Lonchura striata: one gene and its partner. The protein of the gene in region 1 interacts with the protein of each later gene in a pairwise test. Links are inferred from orthologs where the notes say so. Each region holds a gene or a part of one and is shown in the gene's direction. Other genes may lie near its edges.

What was found.
Region 2: the proteins of RETREG3 (region 1) and MAP1LC3A interact in binary tests that used the Homo sapiens proteins (3 or more experiments, as listed by UniProt). The link is inferred for Lonchura striata from reciprocal best matches to the Homo sapiens genes RETREG3 and MAP1LC3A.

What each region holds. Positions count from the first base shown.
Region 1 is NC_134627.1:6,273,615-6,281,901, forward strand, and holds the start of RETREG3 (reticulophagy regulator 3), read left to right. Parts: upstream 1-4,549; 5' UTR 4,550-4,563; coding exon 4,564-4,745; intron 4,746-5,296; coding exon 5,297-5,403; intron 5,404-6,547; coding exon 6,548-6,578; intron 6,579-7,663; coding exon 7,664-7,790; intron 7,791-8,287. Other genes in the region: TUBG1 (tubulin gamma-1 chain), read right to left, coding at 256-405, 611-697, 1,380-1,506, 2,097-2,176, 2,991-3,059, 3,245-3,412, 3,852-3,964, 4,240-4,288. UniProt on the Homo sapiens protein: Endoplasmic reticulum (ER)-anchored autophagy regulator which exists in an inactive state under basal conditions but is activated following cellular stress.
Region 2 is NC_134619.1:13,500,580-13,508,501, reverse strand, and holds the start of MAP1LC3A (microtubule-associated protein 1 light chain 3 alpha), read left to right. Parts: upstream 1-4,177; 5' UTR 4,178-4,262; coding exon 4,263-4,302; intron 4,303-7,922. UniProt on the Homo sapiens protein: Ubiquitin-like modifier involved in formation of autophagosomal vacuoles (autophagosomes). While LC3s are involved in elongation of the phagophore membrane, the GABARAP/GATE-16 subfamily is essential for a later stage in autophagosome maturation.

The sequences.
Region 1 (8,287 bases):
GTAGCTTTTGCCAGTCCTGACCCTGATGATCTCGACAGCCACCCTGATGCATGCAGCAGGTAGCCTGGCACAAGCACAACTGCCTGCTCATGTCTGATTCACTGCACATGCAGCAGTCACGTGTGAGCACGTGGGCCTGGCGTTTGGGACGTGCAGTGACAGCTCACAGCGAGACGGGGCTGACAGATGCTGCAAGGTGAGTGTGACAGCCTCTCTGCCCTTGGGGGTGGGAAGGAGAGCCCGGGGCTGCCTTACCGACTGGTCCGTGGTGAGTGGTGTGTAGCCTGTCATCAGGAAGTGCAGCCGGGGCGTGGGGATCAGCGAGGCGATCAGCCCGATCAGGTCATTGTTCATGTACCCGGGATACCTGAGCGTGGTGGTGCTGGCAGACATGATGGTGGACACCTAGGGGAGAGGACAGGGTCAGCAGAGGGTCACAGAGCCTCATGCTGACATGCCAAGGGAAGCTGGGGCATCTGGAAGGGCACAGGACCTTCACTCAGCTCCAGGCTGCCCAGCCCTGAGCCCAGCCCGTGAAGCTGGTTCAGACTAAACTGAACAGAGCAGGGAAACCCCATGCTGGTTTCTCCTGAGGGAAAGTCCTTCTCACCAGCTGGTTGATCTGTGAGAATGACGGGTTCTGAATGTGCAGCCGGTCTGTTGCGATCCGATTCAAGGCTGTGTTGTCCAGAACCACCTGCAAGACAAACCTGGCTCTGTGAAGGGCCCCTGAGGCAGCAAGGAAGGGCAGTCCTGGCTGTGTGTCCCAGGTGGTCCAGCACAGGCCCTGGATGGAGCCCTCTGCACAAGTGGCAGACACTTGAAACCACCAGCTGACTCATGTGTGGCACGTAACTGACACCCTCAATGGAACCTCTTCCCTCCCTCCTGGCTGTGCTCCCCATGCTCTCCCAAAGAGCTCTACCCCTGGGCCAGCACTGCCAGTTGCAGCAGCTCCAGTGCAACTGCTCCTGCACTGCCACGTGCAGGGACCAGCTGCAGGGACCAGCTGTAGGGACGAGCAGTGTCTCGGTTAGACGTGAGCAAAGGCTGAAGGCGCTGCCTGGCTGGGGATGTCGTGGGTGCTGCACAAGACACAGGTGCTGCATTCAGGCAGGGGCTGCAGCACAGAGGAAGCACAGCCAGTCCTCACTGCCTTGGGAACATCTCTTGGACCCAAGGCAGATATGCCAGGCAGCTCTGCAGGGGTTAGCACCAGTGAGGGTCCCTGGAGCCACATCTGCTTGGCCCATCTGTCTGTCTGTTCATTGCTGCTCCCGGGCTCGCAGGCACACGGTGCTGGCCCAGGACGGGCTGCAGTTCTGAGCTGTGGGGACAAGGCTGTCTCCTCAGGGCTGGCTGCACCACAGGCCTCTTACCACACAGTCAGCATTCTGGGTCAGCCTCTTCAGAGTCAGCAGAGAGTTGTACGGCTGGACTACAACATCGCTCATCTCATCCTGGTTTGGGAACACTGAGTAGGTCTCCACCAGTTTCTTGGGATACCTAGTGAGAAGTGCAGCATCTTGAGGGTTAACACCATCAAGCTATGCTCTCCCCTCCCACAGGCTGCCTTAGCAGTCTCCAGGGCTCAGGACAGGGTGAGTCACCAAAGCTGCAGCCAGAGTGGCTCCCAGGGAGGGAGAGAATGTGTCCCAGCAATGCCTACCCCAGCAGCACAGCAGCCGGCTGCCAGAGGAGCTACAGGGAGGCTGAGCCATCCACAGGCTGATTAAGCAGCTGCTCACAAGTATTTTCAAGAGGATGCAAGCTGAAACAGGCCAGGATGGCAGCTCACAGCCTTCAGTCAGAGCCTCCCACCCTCCCCTGCACCGTCAGGGTGTCCGCAGGCAGCTGCCTGATAAGGAGGCTGAGGGAAGGCAGAGCTTGGACAGAACAAGTCCAGTTTCAAAGCCTCTGAAGTCCCCAGGCGTATCAGGAGCCAGCCTTCTGCAGGCAGCGTGCCAGGGATTGCACAAGGCAGTGTTTTGGTGGGGGTGGTGGCTCTGAGTCAGCGCTCTCCAGCTCCTGCTGCAGGCAGGCTGCCCAGGCTGGGCCAGGCACGGGCTGTGGGCAGGGGACAGGGCTGGGCTCACCTGTCATTCAGCCTCTCCAGGAGGTAGGAGCCCAGCCCAGAGCCTGTTCCACCAGCGATGGAGTGGCAGAGCACAAAGCCCTGCAAGGAAGCAGAAGGTGCTGAAGGTGAAGCTCAGCCCCAGAGCAGGCAGACAATGTGTCACCCCTGCTACCTCCAGCAGAGACCTGCCAACAGGGCCAGAGCTCCGTGCAGCAGCTGGGAGCATGGATGCAGCAGACTGACCCCAGCTCCTCCAGACCCCAGCAGCAGCCACAGCTCCTCAGGCCACTCCTGCCCACACAGTGGGACCTGCATCTCTGCACACCCCGCAAAGTGCAACAACTGCTCGGGAGCGCTCAGGATTCCCACCCAGAACAGAACTGGAATAGCTCCAATGTCACCTCTAGGGTCCAGTCCATCCCAGGAAATGGAACTGCATGTCCTCAGCCCTTTCCTGGGTCCTTACACCCCTCCCTCCTCCTAGTCTGACCGAGGCCAAGCTCCCACTGCCTGACTCCAGGGCAGCTCCCACATGCTCAGCTCCCACATCAGGCACTTCAATGTCCTCCATTGTTTCAGTGATGTTCTCCCTTCCCCTGCTGCCATGTCACAGCCTGACATGAACACCTGGCAGCCCTGTCTGCACACAGGGTGTGCATGTTCACATGGACAGCATAAAGAAAATGCCCCACAAGCAAACAGTGGAACAACTCCTGGGGCAGGGTGGCAGATGGAGTGGGAATGGACAGACCCCCTGTTCCTAGATCCCCTCTCTACACGTTCTGTGCTCAGTCCCAGAATCTCACTGAGCTAATCTGTGCCCACTAGAGTGCTGAGCTCAACCTTACAAAGAGCAACCTAGCTGGGAAAACACCAGGCAGGGCCACCAGATCCAAATCCCTTGTTTACTTACTTCCAAACTGTCACTCCCATCAGCCTCTCTGTCTATTATGTCAAAAATATCTTCATGGATCTTTTCTCCCTGCAAGAGAGATCAGGACTGGTTTTGCTCCTTTCCCACAGAACATGGAGAAGAGCTGCTCAAGCTCAGTGTGAGTCGAGTCAGACTGGCAGTGTGGTGCTGTGCCCAGGGTGCCACACAGCACATGGACACAGGACAAAGCCCCAGGGCTGAAGAGTCTCACCCAGCAGCTCTAGGGCTGGTACCTGCGAGAAGCCACTGGCCCAGTTGTTGCCAGCTCCCCCTCCATGCTCAGACAGGTAGATGTTTTCTGGGTTGTAAAGGTTGGCATAAGGGGAGTTGAGGATGGAGTGGATGACACGGGGCTCCAGGTCCAGCAGCACAGCCCGGGGGATGTAGTGCTCATCATCCGCCTACAACGGGAGCAAGAGGATCTCGATGCTGCTGCAGCTCGGTGCCACCTCCCCTGCCAGAGCGTGAGCCACCCCTGGCTGCAGGTGAGCCCCACATGGCCGGGCCTGGCCAGAGGGAGCAGGGAGAGAGAGGCTGCTCCTGTGCTCAGTGCAGCGTCTCTGTGTGTCTCTGTGCCCAGAGCACCGCCAGCCTGGAGTGGGAGGAACTCCGGTGCTTACATAAGCCACTATCTATGGCAGCCACAGCCTCGTGCTTGTGCTCCACCCGCACAGGCTCCGCTCACACACCGGGAGCGCAGGCGGGAGCCCGGAGCGGGAACCGGGGCCGAGCCGCCGCTCCCGCCCGCACGGTGGCGGCAGGGACGCAGCCAGCCCGGCTGCACTGCCGGGGCACAGGGAGCAGGGCAGCACTCGGTGCCCGCTCCGCGGCCGCCCGTACCTGGTAAAAGAAAACGTCCTTGCGGTCGGTGCCCTCGGTGGCGAACTCTTCCACGATGCCCTCGGGGCTGATGCCGTGCTCGGCGCAGAGCTGCTTCCAGAACTCGAACCCGACTGCGGGGAGGAGCGCTTAGACAGACCGAGACCGAGACCGAGACCGAGACCGAGACCGGGACCGGGACCGAGACCGAGACCGAGACCGAGACCGGGACCGGGACCGGGACCGGAGCGCCCCGGTCCGCAGGCCCCGCCCCATCCCGCCTGGCCCCACCCCACCCGTCCCAAGCCCCGCCCCGTCCCGCCAGGCCCCGCTAACTGCCCCCCCCACAGCATCCCGACCCCGCCCGGCGCGCGCTCCCCCGGGCCCGCCGCGGCCGTGCCGCGCTCACTCTGGTTGCCGCACTGGCCCAGCTGCAGGGTGATGATCTCCCGCGGCATCGCGGCCGAGGCTCCGCTCCGCTCCGCGCCCCGCCCGACTCCGGTACCGCCGCGTCTCCCGCCGGCGCCAACGGCAGTGCGCGCGCGCACCGCGCACTTCCGGGGCAGCGCCGCGCACCTCTGTCCGCGGCGCGTCCCGCCAGGAGGTGCAGGCCGCGCATGCGCCAAGATGGCGGCGCGCTGAGCGGAGTCGCCGCGTGTTGCTGGGGGCCGCCATGGTTGCGGCGGCCGTGCGCGCGCGGCGGGCGGGCGGATGTTGACGCCGTGAGGGAGCGATGGCGGCGGCGGCGGGGCCCGGGCCCGGGGAGCGGCAGCGGCGGGTGCAGGCGCTGAGCGCGGCACTGCGCGGCCGCCTCGGGCCCTACGAGGCGCTGCTGGGTGCCGTACAGGCCGCGCTGGTGTGGGAGCGGCCGGGCCGCAGCGCGCTGTGCTGGGTGGCGGTGCACGGCCTGTTCTGGTGAGCGGCGGGCTGGCACCGGGACCGGCACCGGGATGGGGATCGGGATAGGGACAGGGACCGGGACCGGGATAGGGACAGGGACAGGGACTGGGATAGGGACCAGCACCGGGACTGGGACTGGGATAGGGACCGGCACCGGGATGGAGACCGGGATCGGGACCGGGCCGGCAGGGCTGAGCCGGCGGGGCTCGGGGAGCTGTCCCCGGGAGGAGCGGACCGTGAGGGGCCCGGGAGCGCTGGGTCCACTGCAGCCCCGGCCTCTCCGTGTACCCGAGAGCGTTTCAGACCAGCCGGGAGAGCTCAGCCTGCTGTGGCGCTGGAGGGAGGGCGGCTTGCCTGGGACAGGAGCTGTGCAGCAGGGCTGGCCCGGGAGAACCGACACGGGCAAACGAGTCACCCGGCAGCTGCCCCCGGGGCACGCTGCGTGCTGACTGAGTAGCAGGTGCTGAGTTTTCCTCCTGAGTGAGTGGTTTGAGGTTGGTTTGTGTTATCCCTTTTTGTCTCATAAAGATCTGGCCAGTACCAACTCATTGGTTTCTTCCCTGTAGGTTCTTTGCTCTGACTTCCCTTCGTTTGCTGTTCCTGATTGCTGTAACACTCATAGTAGTAGTGTGTCTAGACCAGTGGAAGCACAAAATCTGGCCAGAAATTGGTGGTAAGTTGCATTTTGAGCTCATAGCAGCAAATCAAGCCCAGTTTCCAGCCCCACAACTACAGGCTCTATACTGCCTGCAGTTACATGGTTAAAACCTCAGCTTTTTGCTTTAAGAGTCTAGAAGGCAGCAAGAGTACTGCAGGCATGCTCTTTCTGGAGATGGAGTATTCTAACCTGTGTAAACACAAGTTCTTTTTGTGCTTGTGACACTGGTATTTGTCTTGTAATCCTGAACCACAGGATGTACGTGATCTAGTGCAGGCATGAGACCATGATTCACTTTCTGAGCATTCAGTACCAGGGTGAGAAATGGAAGCATATGTGGAACTCATCTGGATTCCCCCTCAGAATCCATAATCAGTTTAGGATGAAGACAAAGTCTCAGTCTTGCGGTTGATCAGAGATTTCTTTGGGAGAAGAGGCATCTGAGCAGCTGTAATGAAGTTAGTTTCCAGCTTGCAGTAACCAAAGCAGTTGTGTCCCTCCTTTGTGACATTAATACACTGATGAACACCCCCATTCCAAGCAGCTCGGGGTCCCTTGGCTTTGCATGGACAGGTTAGTTTGGAGCAGTGTGAGGGTCTGCATGTTCCCAGGGCTGGTTCCCTGACTAACCAGCAAGTTCAGCTTCCAGCTTTCTGCTTCAATACGTGTTCTCTGTAGTTCCTGGGAAGACATTAAAGCTTTCTCAGTTTCAAAGCTTGGCTCAGGCTCCTTCTTAGGAGACAGCGTCTGTCCAGCTCCCTCATCCCTCTGATTTGATCTCTCAGGGTGGCTGGTACATCCCTTTCAAGTCCCAGCCTGGGTGGGAAAGTATCAAAGGATTTAAATCCCTGGTGCCTACAGTCTGCAGGCTGTGCCTCCTCTGCAGCTGGGGCGTGCAGGGAGTGGGGGAGAGGGAAGTGGGCAGCCTCTAGTGTCCAACAAACACCAAGGAGCAACAGGGAGACTCTTGCAGTCCTGTGCTGTCACACGTACACGCTCAAGATTTGTTATGGAGTGATGCCTCTCCATCCTGTAATTACAGTTAATGTCTTTTCCAGGTGTTCCCCAGCTCATTAAAGCTTTACTTAAATCCCAAGAGCTAAACATTCCCATGGCAAATTCCTTGAAACTAATGTAGTGTCTGTTCTTAATATTTTAGTGGCAAGACCTGATGAATTAGACAATGAGAGGTAGGAAACTAATTGACTCCTCTGCTGTGATACTTTGCTGTGATACTGTGTTGTTACCTGCACGTGCTTGGGATATTGGCCCCTTTGGGCCAGGAGGAGGGGGAGAAGGGAGGAGGGAGCTGGGAGCTGCTCGACCAGAGGGCAGATGGAAACCCAGGTGCAGTCAGGTGGTTGTGAGATGTTTTTGACTTGCCCAAGCCATTTTATTGTACTTTGCCTTCATACCAGCCTCCAGATATGCTTGCTTAACTCCCTGCTGCCTGAAGTTAGAGGTGCTGCCTTAGGAGCAATTCCTCTTGTTTGGGTCTCCAGTAGCAGGAAAACAGCATTTCTGTGGGAATTAATGAAGTCTTTTGAGACTTGATAGGGAATATTTAACAGGCTGGTTCCAGCAGTTGTTCCTGCATAGTTATGATCTGACTGCAGCATTAATTATGGGTTGAGAAATGCTGAGGTGTTGCCTCACTGCTCACACCTGCCTCTCTGGGCACACCTTCCTGCCGCCACTGCCAGGCTGTGCTGGATGTCAGTTCCTGATTAAATCACCTGAGCTGGTGCCAAAGGACAATTGTCTTTATTCATTCTTTTTTAAGAGGCCCAAGCACAAAAGGAATTGCTCTTTCTAAACTTCAGGTACTCATGACTAGCAGTTAGGCAACACTAACAGAACTGACCAATTCAAGGCCTCCAAAGTAACTGAGTACATGAAGTGAGGTGCAAGGCTGCTTCTAGACCTCATGCTGAACACTTGGAGGCTGCAGTTGACCAGATAAACACAGAAAAAGTAAATGGAATCACTTGATTTGCCTCTGCACTGTGCACTCCCTGCAGTAGCGTAGAAACTGGTCCAGACCATTGACTGAAATTCCTGCTCATCAGCTGCTGTGGGAGCACTGGGATGCTGCTAGAGGGGCTGTAGATGAACTGCTTTGGGCAGGGCACTGCTTGGAGGGCAAGTGACCCTCATCTCTAGAGCTCTGTCTGGGTGGGAACAGAAGGAAGCATTAAGACAAGTATTCGTAAGAAGGGTCTTCAACCCTGACACTGATGCAACAATATCTTCCCAAATTCTGCCTTCACTGCAGCTGGGGATACGTCCACCCTCGGCTGCTGGGACTGCCAGAGCTCTGTCATCATTTGGCTGAAGGATGGGTGACTGGGACCAACTTCTTAAGTAATCTCTTCGTTTTCAAGAGGCAAAGTCCTGGCAAGGTAAGAATGTACAGTTCAGAAATAATCTGTTTGGTGTGGAGCCTCTGCTGACCACAAGGATCCTCCTGTGCTGGCATCCAGTACTGGCTGAACTCGTTTCTGGATGGGAGGTTGTCATGGGAGGTCTCCCACAACACCATGCCTATTACATGGTGGGGAAGAATGGAAAGCCTAGGCAGAATAATCAGGTTGTGGAGGAGGGAGGAGAAAGTGAATGTCAGTGTGTGGATTGCACCACTGAAGTGAGAGCGTGGCTGCTCCTTCTGTAGGTTTCTGGCTTTTCAAGTGTCTGTCAAACTGGTCTCCTCACTGGGTTTTAACAGCTTGAGAAAGTGTGTCAAGCTTTTTTGAGTTTATGGAAAGAGAAACCTGTAGCACAGTGATAGTGTCCTTGTCCTCTTCACCTTGAAGAGCTCTCTAGTTTAGCTTCTTCCTTGCTGTTCTGTCCTTGCTGTGGGAAGTTCCTCTTGCCCTGAGACAGGAGGCCTCAGCTGCCT
Region 2 (7,922 bases), on another chromosome or scaffold:
TTGAGTTGGGCACTTGTGGCTTTCAGAGCCCTGCGAAGGGTGGGTGTGGGAGGATTCAAACAGCCAAGGTACCCTGCATGTTTTCTCTGTGCATTTTCAGACCTGGACATGAATTTTTGGACTGTGTATAATCTGCTAGGTGGTGTCCATGACCCTGAAGGTCAGAAATGCCTGTTGGGGTCTGTAGCCCTGTAGCATCAGTGCTTTGCGTGTCCCAGCTGCCCCTGTGACTCAGGTATTGCTGTTCATGAGCTGCTTCTCCCTTTACACTAGGTCTGGTTTAAGCCATTCCATCAAAACAGGGAATAGGGTCTGGAATCCTGCTTGGTCTTTGGTGCAGCTCCTGATATGCAGCAGTTTACATAATGCCTTTGATCTGCAATAATTGTATGCTGCCTCCCAAAAAAATTAACCTCCAGCAAGCTGAAGTCTGGCTAATTGAACAGTGAGGCAAGGCAGAAGAAAAATGTGACCTCAGTGATCTCTCTCTGTTGTTTGTAACCCAGAGAAATATTTCCTTGGAGGTGGTGACCTGCTTATGGATTTTTGCTTTCTCAAGTAGGTGGCAGTGCTACTTCTCTGAACAGTGAAAAATCTGTAGTGTCCTGCATTCTTTTGGACACTTCCTTAATGATAGCTGTCCTACCAGTAGCTTGGTGTCACAGTAGCTTGGGACAGAGTATTGAGTGTTGGTTTTAAGTAAAACAAGCTGTAATAAATAACCTATTGCAAAACAAAAGATCATGGCCCTTTTTTATTGTGTTGAGATCATAAAACTTGCAGTGAAATGACTGAACTCATGCTATGTGCTGGTTGGTTGGAGGATTGAGGGTTGGTTAGGGGATTTTTCTCAGGATTGAGAGCAGCCTGGCATGAAATATACTTGGGAATTTGAATGAAAGGCTCTTAAGCTGGGTTGGGAGTCAAGGAGTTTGTCAGATCGATCTGGGCAGGGCCTTACTTAGGCCATGTAGTGCCACCTTTACACCAGCACCCAAAATTAATTCAGATTTATTTTTTAAAACTGGCAAGAGGTGAAGCAAGCTGAAGAACAAAAACTATCATTTACTTACTATGGAACAAAGTAATTAACTAAATAGTAACTAAACTAATAAACTAAACTCAAGTTTATTTGGATTAGGACCATTAGAGAGTCACAGAGCTGTCAGCAATTTCCATGTATGAAAGTCAGGGGAGGGTGTCATTTTCCTACATTACCACAAACGGTCAAAAAGAAAGATGGAGCTCAGTTTCTGGTCCTGTGCTTCGTGAGTCTGGGCCTGGTTATTTGTATGGTAAAACTACTGCCAGACTGAGGAAGAGAGAAAAATTAGCATTATGGTTCTAGTCCTTTTTCCTAGCCAGGATCACAGGAAGCTTGAGCAGCCTATGCCATCTGCATCTTGGAGCTGCTCTGTGCTGGGGCTGGCCTGGTTTGCTGTCTTGGAAAAGTCAGTTTTGGTTTTGGTGGATCCCTGTCGAAGGCTGAGGAAACATCTGCTGTTGGGAAAACAAACCCTGATGGATTAACAAGGTAATGAAAGGGAGTTTGGGGCATGGCTCTGGGCTGGGAAGGGCAGCATGTGAGACCCAAGGATGTGCTACCTCTGTGCTGAGATAAGGCTCTGACAAGAGTGGAGGTAACTGTAAAAGCTGAGCTTGTGAACACCTTCTGTGGATTTGTGTTGGCTCCAGAACCCTCCCAAGTAACTCCTTCCCTGCCTAAGGTGGCTGACAGTGTCCTTCACATACAGGACACAGATGTGTCTGCCCCATCCCTGGAAGTGTCCAAGGCCAGGTTGGACAGGGCTTGGAGCAACCTGGGATAATGGAAGGTATGGGCAGGGGTGGGACTGGATGAGACTTAAGGCCCCTTCCAACCTAAACCAGTCTGTGATTTGTTTCATCTTGTCTTAGTTACTTCTCTAGAGGACAAAGGCAAAGATCTCACACCAAGAGAGGCTGGGCTAAAGTGAGCAGAGCTACAGCAGCTCCTGGGACCCACCAGCTGCAAGAGAAGCAGAAGCAGCTGGGGGTGCAGGGGCAGCAGCTTGGACACTGCCTTGGCCAGCAGGAGCCCGGGCATCAACACAATTCTGTTGGCAAAAATACACTTCCTTTACCAGGATTACAGGATTCCTCCAGGGAGATTTCCCTCACTGCTGTGGTTTCACAAGATCCAGGAGTGCTCGTTTTTAGTGGTGCTGCACTGTGGAATGCTGGCATGCGGGAAGATCCTTGTCGATTCCAGGTCATGTCAGGACAGCTCGCTGGTGCCTTAAACCTTTGACTGATCTGGGGAGAAGGGGGTGGGATCTCAAATGCACCTCCTTAAATAAGGAGTTTGGCCAGGGACATCAGTAAAACCAGGCAAGAGGGGCATTAATGTGTGCTGAATTGTTCAGGAAGCTGAGGGCTGAAGGAATAAGTGTATAAATTAAATCAAACTATTTGATCCATATCCCATTTCTGGAGGTACACTAACATGCTGAGAAGCTCCGGAGGTCCTATGAAATGGAGTTTTTTCTCCCTTTCCAGGTTTCTGAATAATTTTCTGTGGAATTATGGCCACAGTCCTGCAGTGAGGTCTGCATGGATAAAACCAGGGGCCACATCATGAAATTGGAAAGACTTTCACATTCCTCTCATTGAAAAGAGGTTCACACTTTATAGCAACAGTAACAAGCCCCATTGCTGAGGATGAAGTCTGTAAAGGTCATCACTTGCCATGTCTGATTCAACATTCCTGCTTTCCCTTCAGTATTTTTAACAGGACCTATATCAGAGATTAATATCTTTACGTGTATCTTAATTATGGAAGTGAATCTGAAGAGTTTATACTTCCTTACCAGTATGTGCTTGTTTAACTACTGCTTGGTCAAGGAAAATCCATTATATTGAGCATGTAAGTGTTTTCTTTCTTGGGTAAACTCAGCAAGGAAACAAGAATTTCTTCAATTCTCATTAAACACATATTTGTTTAAATTGGTGACGCAATAATCGGAGCAGTTCTTTCAAAACTGCATTTTTCATGTATTTTTTTTTACCAAGGTTGTACTTAATCCTTTAACATTTTGTGTTTGCTCCTGTTTTGTGCCAATTCACTGTAGCAATGAGACATTGCTCCACACGATACAGCTCCTGTTGTGGCGTGCAGTGAGGAGGGATATTAGACCTGGTGATACACTGACGCTCTGTTTGCAGTTGTTTTTGATTCATTTATCAGCTCCAGAAATAGCTGCCCTATTTGTAGTCATGCTGCAGGCTTTAACATATTCAGCATAGCCATGGCTGTGAATGCAGGAGGGAAAACAACGGGCTCGTTAGCAGAGAGATGATTGGGGTAGATGGGAATCACAAATGTCAGAGTATCTGTGAGAAAGTAGTTTACATCCAGGTTTGTTGGCTGGAATCTGGTCTGAGCTGTTGTGGCTTCATCCCCACACAATCCTTCCTTCTCCACCCTTCTCACAACAGCCACATTTGCTGCCCAAAGCTGGTGGTGACACTCGGAAGATGTTTTAGTGAAGATGTCCAGAAGATGCCACCGCAGGCCAGAGTCACGGACACCTCTGTCTGTGGAGCAGCTCTGGAAATCCCAGCCCAGGTGTCCTTCTGCTGCCTTAAGCAAGGCCCTCAGGTCCTCTGCTCCATCAGGACTGGAAAAAAAGCTTGTGTTTGGGGTCACCTCTGAATAAAGCACCATGTCCCATCGGGAAATGGGGATGCTCTGCCATGGCTCGTGTCACGGCCATCCTCGTGTCACCAGCTGCTCTCTCCCATGTTGCGGCTTGTAAAAAAGAAAGGGGCAGATAGTAATAGGACAAGAGGGAATAGTTTTAGACAAAAGAAGTGAGATTTCGATTGGTATTGGGAAGGAATTTTTCCCTGTGATGATGCTGAGGTCCTGGCACAGGGTGCCCAGGGAAGCTGTGACTGTCCCATCCTTGGCAGTGCCCAAGGCCAGGCGGGACAGGGCTGGGAGCAGCCTGGGACAGTGGAGGGTGTCCCTGCCATGGCAGGGGCGGCACGGGCTGGGCTGTAGGGCCCGTTCCAGCCCAACCCCGGAGCGGCCCCGCGCCCCCCGCGCCCCCCGCGCCCCGCGCCCCCCGCGCCCCCCGCGCCCCGCGCCCCGCGGTCCCGGGGCGGGCGGGCTCAGGCCCCGCCCCCTGAGGGCGGTGCGCGGTGACGTCACCGCCGCTCCGCCGCAGCCCCAGCGCAGACGGAGCCGCCCGGTGCCGGAGCCGCCCGGTGCCGCCGCAATGCCCTCGGACCGGCCCTTCAAGCAGCGCCGCACCTTCGGTGAGCCGGGACCGGCCGGGAGCGGCCGCGCGGGAGGGAGGGACGGGCGGGCGGATGTGCCCTGCGCCGCCCCCGCCGTGCTGCCCGGCGGGGCGGCCCCGCCCGGGCCGGGGCTCGGCCGCCGCGGGTCCCGCCGGGGCGGCCGCGGGAGCAGCGGGGCCCGGCCGGGGGCGGCGGTGCCGCAGCCGCCGCGCGGTGATGTCATCCCGCGCCGCGCCCGGCCGAGCGCAGCGCTGTCCCCGGGCCGTCCCCGCTTCTCCCGGGGACCGGGGTCACCGGGGCGCGGCGGCGGCCGCAAAGGGCCGTGGAACGCCCGGGGGGACGGTGATGGCCACGTGTCCCTTTCGACTGTCAGAACACAAAGACCTCCCCAAAAATCGCCTTCCGCGCTCCCCATCTGGTCGGCGTTGGGGCGGTTGTTGTTCCAGGATGTCGCACGCCCTCTGTGATGGTTGTGAGACACAGAGTCAGTGCTCGCATCCTCCCCGCCTCTTTGTCAGAGGTCCGTGGTGGGGAGGCTCAAAAGGTGAGGAGGTGACTGTAGAAAGTCCCGGATTTCTATCTCCAGACCCGACAGCGGAATCCGAGGAAACACCAACTGCTGTTTTCCCTTGACCTTTGCCGGCTGGCGCAGGGAGAGGTGTGTGCTTCTGGCAGGTTAAATTTCTGGGGAGGGGGTAGCAGTTGAACTTTACTCGCTGTATAATGCTGAAATCGGTACTTTTATGCCATAAAAAACCCTCATATTGTGCCAGAGACTGTCCAAACGCAGGTGAGGGCGTTTCCTACATGAGTTTTAAAATTGGAGTTTTTGCCTGCTGAAAGCTGCTGATCCAGCCCCTTCTGCTCTCTTGGAAACTGTAAATATTTGGTATTATATTGGCACAACCCTTCTGGCCTTGAATGCTTACCCAGTCCTCCCCTGCCACAGGACCGAGCCAAGGGAACATGCACAAACAAGAACCAGCTGAAGCCTGGGAGCTTGGGATCCTTGCTGGGAACCTGCTGTGTGCTCCTAAGCTACGTATTAAAACCAGTGAAGTCCTAAATCGGCCCCTTAGTAACTACCTACTGTTAAATTGGTGAGAATCAGCTTATTATGGTTAGGAGTAGACTGGTTTGCCTTTGTGGATTGCTCAGACTTTCTTTGAGCCAGAGGGAAAACAAAATCTGAGGCTCAGAGTAGTTGAAAGAAAGCAGGATTAAAATAGCCCGGGAGGGACAGAGGGGGTGAGGGAGTTTGGTGCCGGCAACTGCAAGTGCTCCTTGTTTCTCCGTACTTTCCTCTGCCCTTTTGCTCTCTCAGCTGACTGGGCTGCAGAGCTGAGCCAGGAGGAGAGAAGGAGGAGGACGCCTGGCAGCCCCTGCAGTTGCTTTGGGTCAGGGCTGGAATTACTCTGTTGGAGAAAGTAAATATGGCTTGTTTTTGTCTTTGAATCATTACACAACAGGAGCAGGAAGTGATTGTTTACAATGCAGTTGGAGAGGGCTAGTGGAAAACATCTCCAGTGATTCCATACCCTCAGAATGGCTTAATTTTTAAGGCTTCAAAACTTTACAGAAATGGAACGGTTCCAAAAAAGCAGTGAAAAGGCAGAGTCAGGGCTATGGCTGTTTACAAAAGGCACACAGGCTCCAGTTTCATGGCAAGTGGCTGCCTTAGGTCTTGGGCTGCTGCTTCTCAGTGAAGATTCTCGTTTCCCCAAAGCTTGTGTTCCCCCCTTCTTGTATTTTTTGAATTTTTCTGTGAATTTCTTAGGTTTGTTCAACTGCTTGGTCTTGGGTCTCTCCTGAGTAAAATTTCCTGATTTCTCCTCATCATTTCTAAGGACTTGAGAAGGGGACTGACTGTGAAACAACAGGGGTTTGATCCAAGGTGTGTGGAGGGCACGGAGCAGTGACTCCTCCCGTGATCTCAGGTGCTGTCCCTGGTGGGCAGGTGAGCTCTGTGAGCTGGTCCTTGGCAGCAGAACGTCCTTGCTGTGTGTGCAGGGGGTAAGATGTGGCAGCACCCTCTGCATCCATGTGCTGAACCCAGAGGCTGAGGCATGTTCAGATCTGTTGCAGGAGTCCAAAACAATTCCCAGAACAAAGCTGTGGTCTGTGTCAGAGGAACAGGCTGTCCTGGCAGTCGTGAGAGTGTGCAGCAGCCTGATGACACCATTGCACTTCCCGAAAGGAACACGGGTCCTTGGGAGCATTGTCCCACTGCTCCTGAAGTGAGGTTTGCATTGGGCTGGCAGCAGCTGCCAGCTGTGTTTTCAGTGCAGCACAAAATCAGTGTGGTGATGGACATGGGCCTGGATCCTGGAGCAGCCAGGTGACCCAGAGCACCTTGGTCCCGTGCCCCCGTGTCCGGCAGGAACAGAGGCAGGAACACACCTGCATGTGCCTTGTGGCTCAACTGGAGTCCCTGATTTGGTGACAAACACAGAGGTTTGACCTCAGCCTCTGTGGACAGAGTGTTCCCATCCCAGGTTCCATCCTCTTGGAGATCTGCCTTTGTTTGTGGGAAGCCACTCTCTCTTCAGAGGAAACGCAGTGGTGGGTGTGGAGCAAATCCCCTGTTGGCTCTGGGGATCGGCGTCCCTGGGGACTCATCCAGCACAAGCCAGCTGTGCTTGTACCCACTGAGAGACCAGTAGTGGCTGAATTGTCTGCCTCACACACCGTTCTGTGCTTATCACAACAGTTCTGCTCATTAGTGGCTTGGAAAAACATCTGGATATTGATGTGAGATTGGTCTGTGAGCCCTCGCTGGTCCTTGGCTGGTTCTTGGGTGTCTGTGCTCTGGCAGTTGTGCTTTGAGAGCTGGGATTCCTTGAGAGGAGGATGCTGCTCCAAATTGCTGCTTAGCTGCCTGTGTCTTGGATTAATTACTGAGGACATTCTGTGACTTGACTGGATGTAGGGGTAATTATCGATGTTGAAGAACTGAACAGGCTTCCAGAGCAAAAGTCAGACAAACATGAAGACCACAAATTTTGACTTTTTAAATTATTATTCTTTTCTATAACACAAGGTCCTGACTGGCAGCCAGGAATAATAAAACCTGTGTGTTTTGTTCATTACTTAATTTTTTTTTCACTGTAAAAACTTCCTTTGAGCCAGAAGGGTGGAGACTGGAGAATCCAGGGGCTGTCAGGGTGGTAGGCCCTTGCCACCTCTGTCATTGAGTAGCCATGAGCCATGGATAAGTCATGTCCCTTGGCTTTGGTGTTCCTTCTGTGGTCAGTCCCAGCAGGGATCACAGTCACGAGAGTCACTTGGGAGGTCTCGCAGTGTGTCACCTGCTCGGGTGACATTCTGTGGTTGACTGGGAATGTGTAAACACTACTAGCTCTGTCATGCTGTTGTTTGCTGCCTTTTGTCCTCAGAAGGTGGTTTAAGGTTGTGAGAGAAAATGCAAGAATGAATTCAAGACTCTGGTGTCTGGCACATGTCCCCAAAGCATCTGTGCATGTCCAGGCCTGTTTGTGCACAAATAGCAGTGAACTGTGCTGGGCAAAGGCCCTTGGTGCTTGCAGGTGCACTGTGGGCTGCACCAAAATACAGTCCTGCCAGCAGTGCCAGGTCTTTCTTTAAGCAGTTTGAAGTGTCCTGAGTAGTTCTGAGAAATC